Linked DNA regions of Rattus norvegicus. The protein of the gene in region 1 interacts with the protein of each later gene in a biochemical or structural test. Links are inferred from orthologs where the notes say so. Each region holds a gene or a part of one and is shown on either strand. Other genes may lie near its edges.

Evidence for each region.
Region 2: the proteins of Tnrc6a (region 1) and Ago2 form a complex in vitro, tested with the Homo sapiens proteins (2 studies listed by BioGRID). The link is inferred for Rattus norvegicus from reciprocal best matches to the Homo sapiens genes TNRC6A and AGO2.
Region 3: the proteins of Tnrc6a (region 1) and Cnot1 form a complex in vitro, tested with the Homo sapiens proteins (2 studies listed by BioGRID). The link is inferred for Rattus norvegicus from reciprocal best matches to the Homo sapiens genes TNRC6A and CNOT1.

Annotation. Positions count from the first base shown.
Region 1 is NC_086019.1:187,122,468-187,126,119, reverse strand, and holds part of Tnrc6a (trinucleotide repeat-containing gene 6A protein), read right to left. Parts: coding exon 2,071-3,652; intron 820-2,070; coding exon 643-819; intron 1-642.
Region 2 is NC_086025.1:106,931,555-106,935,206, forward strand, and holds part of Ago2 (protein argonaute-2), read right to left. Parts: intron 3,261-3,652; coding exon 3,127-3,260; intron 1,219-3,126; coding exon 1,034-1,218; intron 1-1,033.
Region 3 is NC_086037.1:9,313,237-9,316,888, reverse strand, and holds part of Cnot1 (CCR4-NOT transcription complex subunit 1), read right to left. Parts: intron 3,375-3,652; coding exon 3,250-3,374; intron 3,006-3,249; coding exon 2,719-3,005; intron 1,869-2,718; coding exon 1,790-1,868; intron 1-1,789.

The DNA.
Region 1 (3,652 bases):
CACATCTTTACTTCTCAAATGCATGTAACAGAAAAGGTGCTTTTTGACTATATTCAAAGACACTGGAAAGAACTTATTTAAACATCCAATGAAACTTTCCATGTCTTCATAAATCTTAGGATTTCTAATCATGAGCAATAGTGGTTTCTTATGCATACCTACTTGGTTTTTTAAAATGATACAAAGAACAGAGGGTGAATGAGGTGGAAAAGACAATTGTCTATACTATTATTCTCTACAAGGCTGTTCAAAGGGTACTGAAGCCACAGTAGAACAAACATCTATCTCTACACACACAGGCCTTGGGGCTCCCATAATGTGTCCTGAGCCCAACATGGTAGAGGAACAATATTCATGTACATTTCAGGGTCCTTCCCTTCTAAGATTTGATGGTTTGGACACGTGTCTCACATTATATTATCTAGTCTCTCAAGCTGAATGGCATAAAAGCTGCTACATTCAGTTTTAAATAATCAAACAAAAGAATTTAGATTTAGTGGAGGATATGTAAATTATTCTTAGTTACTTTTGAGAAATACATCAGTAGTGACAATTTAGAAGCACTAGCCCATTTTTTAAATGTAGTTCATGAGTTTATCATCAGCACTACAAAATGGCTGCTAACAATCACAGATGACTTACCAGATTTGCTTAATGATTGTGGACCAACAGAGTTGGAGCCCCACGTGGATGCACTGGATGCTGCAGTAATGGGTTCTCCCCAGCTGGGACCACTGTCTATGGGCTTGCCCCAGGCTGAAGTACCATTATCCACAGTCGTGGCTGGAGTAGAAGGCTCTGCCCAAGGCTCACCCCAGCCTTTAGAAAGCATGGGAAAAAAAGTCATCAGCATAGACATTAGGAAACACCTTAAATAAAGGACACAAGGAAGAGGACTTGGGAAGCGAGATGAAGAATTTCACATCACACAACTGAAAAATGATGCTGTGACAAGCAAGAGGCATATTTTGTGAAGAACACAAATTATTCTGCATTAATATAACTGTATAACGTTTTAACCTTTTCTTTCAAAACTGCCATCTGGTGTAAGAGGAGACTCTTTTGAATAATTTAATATAGCAAATCATCTTCCTAAAAACGTCAGGTTCTTCTGAACCAAAGCTTGAGACCTGAGGCAGGTGCAGTGTAAAGTTACACTAATTACATTTTACTGAAAGGACACTCTTCCCATAGCACTGTAGTGGACAACAACTGACTATGACTACCATCAAGTAAACAGCCAGCCTACCTTATACACACGGGAAAAGAGGTCTACACTTTCCCTAAGAGTTAAACATAAATCAATAGAATAGGCTTGTATTTCAAAACAAAACAAAAACCCCACAAAATTAGGCACTAAAAGAAGAATTCCTGAAAACATTACCAGCTCTCTAACCAATGCAGCGTTACTCAATAAAACTCCCATTAACGGGGTTGGGGATTTAGCTCAGTGGTAGAGCGCTTGCCTAGGAAGCGCAAGGCCCTGGGTTCGGTCCCCAGCTCCGAAAAAAAGAACCAAAAAAAAAAAAACAAAAACAAAAAACCTCCCCATTAACAAAGGCATTGTGGGCCTGTCACATTTACAAAATGTTGCCCTATCAATTTACAGAGAAAAGACTTTGCTCAGTACAGGAGAGGAAAGGTCGAGCATACTAGAAAGCAGTGCAATGCTTCAGATGCACACACTGTATCCAGTTATCTGAGTAGATGCTGACTTCATGCCTCATTTAGGAAACCCACTAAGGTCAAACATAATATCAAATATCCAGAGTACTGTACTCAGGCACTTGGCTTTATTGTACTTCAATAGTGAAACCACATTATTAAGGCTTGGTTAAGAATACCTAAATAAGTACGTAACTCTGCCACTCAGTCCCTTCTACTACATTCCTAACAGAATAGGGCAACACTCCCAAGACAGAGCTGTTGCCTGGTAGACTTCACCTCTAGGTCACAGCTGAAAGGCCTTGATGTGCACGCTCAAGAACTGTGATACACAAATCTTATGACTGCATGTCAACACAAAGCTTGCTTCCACAATACCACTGCACTCCACATAGGAACGCTTACCAGAGCCACTGCTGGTCTCCTTGCTTGAGATGGCACTTGCAGCCGGCAACAACCGGTGCATCTGTGCTTGCTGGTCTGAGCGGCTGCTGCCTTCTGGGATGTTTTTATTCCACATGTTCACATTTTTGTAGTTGTATTTGCTTGGATCTCCCCAAGCTGAAGTTCCATCATCGATCTCCATTTTTCGTCGTATAGACTCTGGGGATGGTTCCTCCCAGCCTGTGGGTTCTTCCTCCTTTGCTGGAGCAGGAATAGGTCCCCCAAGCCAGCCTGTACCAGGAGGCTTGCTGGTGGCTGGTGGGATTCCCCACGATCCAACAATGTCTTGTTGCTTGTTCCAATCTGGAGAACTAACTGGTTTTGATGAATCTCCCCAACCTAGGGACTGATTACACTTTGGAGGGTCTCCCCATCCCTGGGAAGAGTTAGGTTTAGAAGATTCATCCCATCCTGATGAGTTATTTGGATTTATATTATTTCCCCAAGTAAAAGAACTAGTTTTACCAAGTTCGTTCCAACCAGAAATGGACCTGTCGCTGTCACTGCCTCCTGAGCTGGATTTCTTATTAGCCTCACCCCAATGGTTACTCCTGGAAGATTCTCCCCAGTTATCACTGGCAGAAACGGACCAACCTTGGCTTGACTTTTGTCCATCGCCCCAGCCTTGTTTGTTCTTTTGCGAATCATTCCATGCAGACTTGTCTTCTTTGCAATGCCCCCACTGATTGCTCTTGATCATTCCTGTAGCAGCAGAATCATCTTCCCACCCCCCCTGGCAGTTTGAGCCTTTGGAATCTCCCCACCTCAGAGTAGGTTTGGGATCACCCCACCCTGATACAGATGAGGTATCATTACTATTAGGGCTAGTCTTATCTGTACATGCCCCTGAGTTAAAAGTCTGTGTTGCAGAGCTTCCCCAGGCCTCTGTCCCATTGTCAGTCTTTCTTTCCCCTCTTGGTGATGTCTCTGTATCCCAGGCAGTATTCTGCTTAATAGGAGTCTGTCCCCACCCAGAATTGGATAGGACACGTGGATCTAAGTCAGTTCTGTTTACAATGCTTTGGAGTAATGTGTGCTGATCAATTTTTCTTCTATCTCTACTCTGGCTTTCCCCGGTTACTTTTTCTTCAAGGCGTCCAGTGCTCTCTGCACTACCATCACTCTCCACTGTGCCTCCTGCTTTGGCCCACACACTGTTTTGCTCATTCGTCTGAGATGTGCCAGAACCCTGATCATCTTCCTCAGTAGATTTCCATCCATTTGTAAGTTTCTTACTACCATTGCCATTTGCACTGTCATTGGAATGCTGGTTGCTAGGCAGTTTGTTCCACTCAACACTGGACAGACTAGTGCCAGTGTTCTGTGCAGGACTTCCCCATCCTCTTCGACTTCCTCCAGAATTTGCACCATTTCCACTTCCCCATGGTGAACTCTGGGAATTCACTGTCCCAGGCTCCCATACACCTCCCCCTTTATTTGTACTAACTTGAAAGTTAGTGCCCATAGGCCCATTTATGCCAGGCTGCATTAGAGTTGCATTCACAGTGTCACCATTGGCTTGGCCATTAGGGCCTGCACATTT
Region 2 (3,652 bases), on another chromosome or scaffold:
CACCACTGCACGAGCAAGCCTGCTTTGAACCTGGAGGGGGAAAGCACGGCGGCCGTGGGTCTGCAGTCTGCCTGTGGTTAGACAGGACAGACCCCTACTAGTAACAACCATTAAGAATCCCAGTTGCTTTCTGACTCCTGCACCACCAGATCTCACACCAACACCCTTTTGCTGAAAGCCTCTGGGGGCGGACAGCTCTCACCCTGCAGATCTGTCGGTATGACCGCCCTGCCCCGCTGAAGGCCTCCTGAAAGGAAGGCTGTACCTGATTCATTCCCTCTTCTCTCAGCATCATTGGGCTTCTCCACTGATGAAATGAGCAACTACCGTCTAACCAACAGAAACCCAGCCTTGTCTGGGCTGGTGGCAGAGACCAGACGTGCTGACTGAGGCCTAGGGAATCAAGAGTCAGTGGGGCCTCCTCAGGGAACACTGGCATAGCAGGGGACTCTCTCATCTGCCAACACTCCTGCCACAGCATGACTATCAAACCAACCCTCAAGTCAAATTATGGGCTGTAGCTGGCTGTTGCTACTTCGTGGTTTCTTTTTTCCCCACCCTTTATTCACTGGTCTCCCCCCCTATCACTAGATAGGAGAGAAAGGATAGTAGGGACAGAGAGACTCCTGAATCCAATTTATTTCCTTTTGTTTCTATTGACCATGACCACTAATAATCTGCACCCGACCTCCCTAAACGACCAATAACTACAAACGCCATCTCTTGGGGTGTTGGTGTCAAAACAAAGGAGAACATTTATCCATTCCTAGAATTCCAAACATTGGGCAACTGCAGAAACTATCTGCAGCTATGGGCCACCGGGACTTGCTAGATACCTGGGACTGGGGCCTCATTCAAGACAACAGTGACAATGGCCTGGAAAATGGACTAGAGTAACCTGACCTCCCTCTCCCCTTTCTCAGGCTCAGGAATGAACCCACCACTCAGTTCAGTCCACACAAAGGGGAACAGGCAAATCACAGCCACTGGAACCCCCTCGACTCCCAAAGGCCTACAGATGGCTGACACCTACCGTACACAGGAGTCTTGCCAGGCAGGATAACCACCACCAGCTGGAGACCAGCGTATGTGTTCTTCAGGTGTCGGAACATGGGTTCCACACTGTCTGCCCCCTGTGCGTATTTACAGAAGCAGGGCTGACCCTGGATAGGCATCCCAGCATCTCTTGAGATCTTCCTCAGTTGCTCTGTGAAGGACCTGAGGGGAAAAGCCACTTGGCTAAGATGTACAATATATGGAAAGGAAGTCATATCCTTTCAACCAGGGGTTCTGAATACAGTTTAATAAAGTCAAAGGGGTGGGGAGAGGATTTTAAGTGCTTGCCTAGCACGCCCAAAGTTTGATCCCAAACACTGGATATTGCAGGTATGGTAATCTTAGCATTTGGGAGGAGAGGCAGGAGGATCTATAGTGCAAGGTCATTTAAAACTACACGATGAGTTTGAGGCTAGCCTGAGATATACAAGATTCTATCTAAACAAAGCAAAAACAAACAAAGAGAATTATGTTTTTTATTTGCTTTTGGTAGCTTAGACTGGCCTCAAACTCAGGATTCTGCTGCCTCACCCCTCTGGGGGCTAGGGTTGGGGGGTAGGCACCATGCCATGCTAGAATTTAATCTCAGGCATTAACCCATGAAGGGGGTGAGTGCACCACAAACCCATGGAAGGCCCAGGGATAATTGCTGGGATAAAATGGCAGATATAAGTGCCTGCTTGCTGCCTTTCTGTAGTGACACAGTATGGCTCTTTTGGGCCACACAGGCCTACTAAGCAACTCTGTTAGGGCTCTGGTAAAATAAGGGACACCTTCAGCTGCCGTATGGGTTTTCCCTGCTGTTCTGGTGGGTATAGCTTGACCGTGGAGACACAGACCCAGAAGGAAACAGAACAGGTGGCAGTCAAGCAAAGCCAGCATTTGGACTGCAACAAGACTCAGGGGGCTGAGAAGACTGGCTATGTTCAGAGTAAAAACATCCAACCAGCAGCCAAGGTGAGGACATTTAGTTCCAACCTAGTGGAACAGAGTTCACCTCCCATGCGCTGCACTTACAGAATGCACATATGTGTACCTGCAGTCACACCATCAACAGGTAGGTGTGCCTGGGGATAGAGACCAAAAATAGAAGATGGGCAGAAGTTGGTCAGCATCTAGCCTCTGCTCTGACTTTTCTCTGGGCTCCTGGCTCGTTCTCTCAGAAGCACAAGCAAAAGCTACACCAGTGTAGAATGACAGCCTCTATCCAGTGAACTCAGCCCTGCGTAAGACAGCTTCACCAAATAGCCTCTTGTTGGGGTGGTAGTGTTACAGCTATTCTCTGCAGGTTTTGGGGTGCCCCCTTCACTGCCCCCAGACAGGTAAGAACCAAATGTCTTATTTCCCCTCTAACCTTGGAACACGAGTAAAAACCCTGTGAGCTCTAAGGTACAATCTTGTTGGCACTGGTCAAGCTTAGTTACTTGCCACTGGCCCAACACTCAGTGTTCTGGGCAGAGGAGCGGGCCTCTGCAGCTCACTGTATCAGTCCTAAGCTACAGGGAAGGTGGCTGGGAGCAGTTAACCCACTCCTGATGGGTGAACTGTAACCCGTCCCTCCCCTGGAGAGCAGCCACTGAAGCCCACCACAATACTGACCTCTTCTACTGTCGCTTACCACCCAGTTTTCAGTTTCACTTCTCATTTAATTCACTGAAACGTCACAGTAGCACCAGCACAATGGCTTAATGAGAAAAGGGGGCACCTGTAATCCCATCAATAGCGGAGGCAGAGGCAGGTAGATCTGTGAGTTCAAGGCCAGCCAGGGCTACATAGTTGAGTTCTTGGACAGCCAGGGCTACAGACAGAGACAGTAAAATGTGTTGTTTCTACAGTCTGAGTCCACCGACTATGTCCACCCTCTGCTTCCATGGCGACTGATTTATTTTAACTCAGGTACTGTTTTCTCTCACAGCTAACCTTGGCCTCACCACATTTCATAAATGGGAGTCACCGTGAGCGAGTGCTCTCTGTTAGAGAAAGGCTGCCAGCCACTGGTGTCGGAACCCCAGTGACCCATCTGACTAACAGAAACAAGGCCAGGCACATGGAGGCCTCAGGCAGGCTTACTTGAGATGGACTTCTGTACACTGGCGCTGGGGTGCAAAGCAGGCGATGGCCCACACCTTGATCTCGATGCCCGTGTGGAACTGCTTGTTTCTCATGTCCCACACACCCTGGACAGGGGTGGCAATCGCTTTGTTCTGCAAATACAAAGTAGTTCAGTGGGGAACAAATGAAAATGTTCTTGCTGCTGGCCCTCCTGACCACAAGGACTCCTAAAGCACCACATCACAACGGGTGTGTTGTCTCCACGTCTCTAGCATTCCTTAGCACTATAAGCAACCCCCACAACACATGCAGAATGGTGGGTTCTGAATGGACGTGGCAAGCTGGATGAGAAATTAACAGGAGCAATGATGAGCCCTAGATGGGTAGAGTGAAGGGTCAGACGGACGGGTGAATGTGGGGAATAAATGAGTGGATGCGAAGGACGCATGAGTAGAGCTGGATGAAGGTACCAAAGGATGGGTGAGTGGATGAGGTTGAGTGTGGTCAGATGGATGGATGGGAAGGGACAATGGGTGAGCAGAAG
Region 3 (3,652 bases), on another chromosome or scaffold:
GTGGAGCAAACTATCCCTATGTAGCCCTAATCTGACTTGATTTCAAGAGATTTGCTTACCCCTGTCCTCCCAGTGATGGGATTAAGGTGTGAAGCAACCATGTGCAGCTTAAGTGATTTGTTCAAGGCGTTTGAGGACTCAGGTACAGGGGTGCACAGCTTTAACCACAACAGACAGAGCGAACAGTAATAGGAGCTCTGAGTTCAAGTAAAGACAGTGACACCTTGGTGTTTTTTTAAAAAGGTGCTTGTCTTATAGGATGGATGGATGGATGGATGGATGGATGGATGGATGGATGGGGAATATAAATGTCTAATTTGTTCCCTAGAAGCATCAACAGGAAGGCAGGACCTTTAAAAAATGTTTGCAATTTATTAAATTATCATCTTCCCATGTACCACCCATGCAATCTTAAATTCATGGCCTCTAATGATATTATCCCTGCCACCCCCACACACACAAACACACACGATCTGCTCAGTCTCTTCAGTACTGTGTTATGTTGATTGATTATTTGACACTGAGTAACTAACTGACTGGGGAGCTCCTCCCTTGGGAAAGGCTAATCCTTGCTCTCACCAATCAATAATGCCTGTAGGGCTACATGAGAATTTCCCACACTGTCATCATTGTTGGCAGGCTAAGACTTTAAATGTGATCATTCTTACTCCTTATGAAATATCTTCTGTATGTAAATTTTAACAATTAGAATCCTAAGAAATTAAACAAGTTTCATTTCAAACTGAATATCCAAAATTCAAGTCAAAAGTGTGCATAATTAATGGCTATCATTCCAAATGAACCACTAAAAAGGGTCCTCAAATTTTAATGGAACACCAAGAATAATATGCATTATTTCCTAGGTCTACTTCTGTAGAAGCTGACTCCTGCTGAGTTCCTCCACAGAATCTAAGCAGGTAACTTAAAAGATTTTTTTTTAAGTAACAATTTGTAGACCAACTTTGGATTGTGTAATTTTGTCGTGGGGGTTGTTTATTTTTTGTGAGATAGGATCAGACGGTCTAGCATTGGCACACAGACCAGATTTCACTTTATAGACTAGGCTAGCCTTCATCTGAGATGCAGTTGCTGGGATTAAAGGTGGGTGCCACCAACCTCTGAACTCCACTATTTTCTAGAATCAGGAAAGTTTGCATATATGTAAAGATTCACTGAGTGAAATATACCTACTGTTCAAAAGTATCACCAGGTCACAAGAACCGGTAAAAGCCTTTTAATTCAACAATAAAAACTACAGCTCAAAACCATTACACCATGAATGACATTTTAATTTGGCTTATTATTAAGTCCAAAACTGAGCAAGGAACGACCTCATAGACTGAGATCATTCAAGAATCTTTACCTAGCCATTGTGACTCACGCCTTTAATTCCAGCACTTTAGACGCAGAGGCAGGGGAATTTCTGAATTTTGAGACAGCCAAGGATACCTATTGGATTCTTGGCAGCTAGAGGGGCATAGTGAGACAATGTGTCAAACAAACAAACAAACCCACAAAGGGCAAGCCTAAGGAGAGCACTTGTCTAGGACGCCCAAGAACAGCAGCGGAATTCCAAGAACATGGCCTGCAATCCACAAGGATCCTCTACCCTCCATACAGGCCATGAACAGTGTGTGTCCTTACACTTACTACGCAGTAATCCTACAACAGAGTAAAGCAAAACAAAACCCACCTTAACCTTACTAGCGTCTCTCACTGAATCCCCAAACAAACCAAGAGTCAATCCAGCCTCTGCCCACCTGACAGGCATACAGATCAGGACACTTACCTCCTGCAAATGGTGTGGGAACTGCATAAAGTGACTGATAGAAGCCAGGTGTTGACAATACTGAGGATAGTCCTTCAATCTGCCAAAAAATAAATTGTTCATTCATCATTTCATGTAAGTACAGGAAAAAGGGTTTTGTTTTGTTTTTTCCAGCCACTACTATTGAGAATCATTCCACCACTGTTATTGTGAAGACAACGTCAAACGGAAGACGACTGCCAGCCAGGAATGGTGCACACACGACCCCAGGACCTAACAATAACAACAGCGGCATAAGCTCAAGGTCAGCCTGGCTACATCTCAGGGGAAACACTGGGATGACCACCAACAGGGATGACCCTCACTCCACCCAGAGACACACCATCATCCAGGTATGCTCACACAGGCCTACAGTCTCAGCACTCGGGACACTGAAGAACAGAGAATTAAGATTTCCAGGCCAGACTGGAAGAGATCCAATCAAAATTTAAAAGTAACTGAAAATTGTGTAATACAAAATAAACAGAGTCATTATCTCTGCTTTAAAAAAAAATTCACTCTGTACATTGGGCACACAATGGACTTAGCTGTACAGGTTAGTATATACCTAATATGGAAGTGTACGCATTGTGTGTGATATATATACACTAGTTGCTGCTCCACATAATAAAAAGATACACCCAGGGCTGGAGAGATGGCTCAGTGGTTAGAGCACTGACTGCTCTTCCAGAGGTCCTGAGTTCAATTCCCAGCAAACACATGGTGGCTCACAACCATCTGTAAAGAGATCCGGTGCCCTCTTCTGGTGTATCTGAAGACAGCTACAGTGTACTTATATATAATAAATGAATAAATCTTTAAAAAAAAAAAAAAAAAAAAAGATACACCCAGAACGAAGAAGGCTGAGAAGGCCTGGGGAAGAAGGAAGAAGTGTCAGTCTCAGTACTCACCTATTTTTAAATCTATCTAGTGCAGCAATACCAAAATAATACATTTTGGACCCAAAAGGCTTCCGTAAGGCTTCAAGAACATATCGCAGGGCCAGACCCAATGCCATGTAAGTGACCAGTCCTTTTTCAATTATGCCACCAAACAAGCAGGCTGTTATATGTAATTCTTTATCAGGGTACTGGGGAAAAAACCGGTATTCTTCAAATAAGTTCCTTAGCATACAGTTAAATACTTCTCGCTCCCTTTTTATTGTAGAGTCTTTAAATCTCTGTAGCATTTCTAGTACCTGGAAAAGCAAGATAAACACAATGCATGCATACAAGAAACTTTACCAAGAATCATCCTCATATACCTGAATAGCAGACTTCCTGAGAAAAGCATTTACCAGTGCCAAAAAACAGAGCTGACACAAACATTAAAATTTCAAAAGATACACAGAAATACTACATTTTAAGTGAATTTCTAAAAACCTTCAAAGTGCCCTCATTTCGAGTTTATGAACATGAGAATCAGGAAGCCTAGACACTCACCTCATCAACAGACATGGTTGGATGTGGGGGGTGATTATATATTCGCTGGAAATAGCTGTTTGCTTCGTCATCTATTTCTTTACTAAAGTGCTGATTTGCCTCTGGCCACACCTGAGACAAGTCGGCTATTGGGGAGGAAAAGGCTATCAGTATACATATTTAAATCTTTCAATTCCCCCAGAAAGCCAGAGAGACTAACATGGTTCTAACTTGAAGTGGGGAAGAGGGGACATATAAAAAAAAACTGAAGGTTCAAGGATCAAATGATGGATTTTACCAACAGAGCTGTACAGGCAGACAAAAAAGACTTCTAAATAAATTGCTTTACTTGGTTGTACAGTATTTTGTAAATCCTACTGCAGTAAAAAGAAAGCTCAAAAGGCCAGAACCCCTAACCATTAAC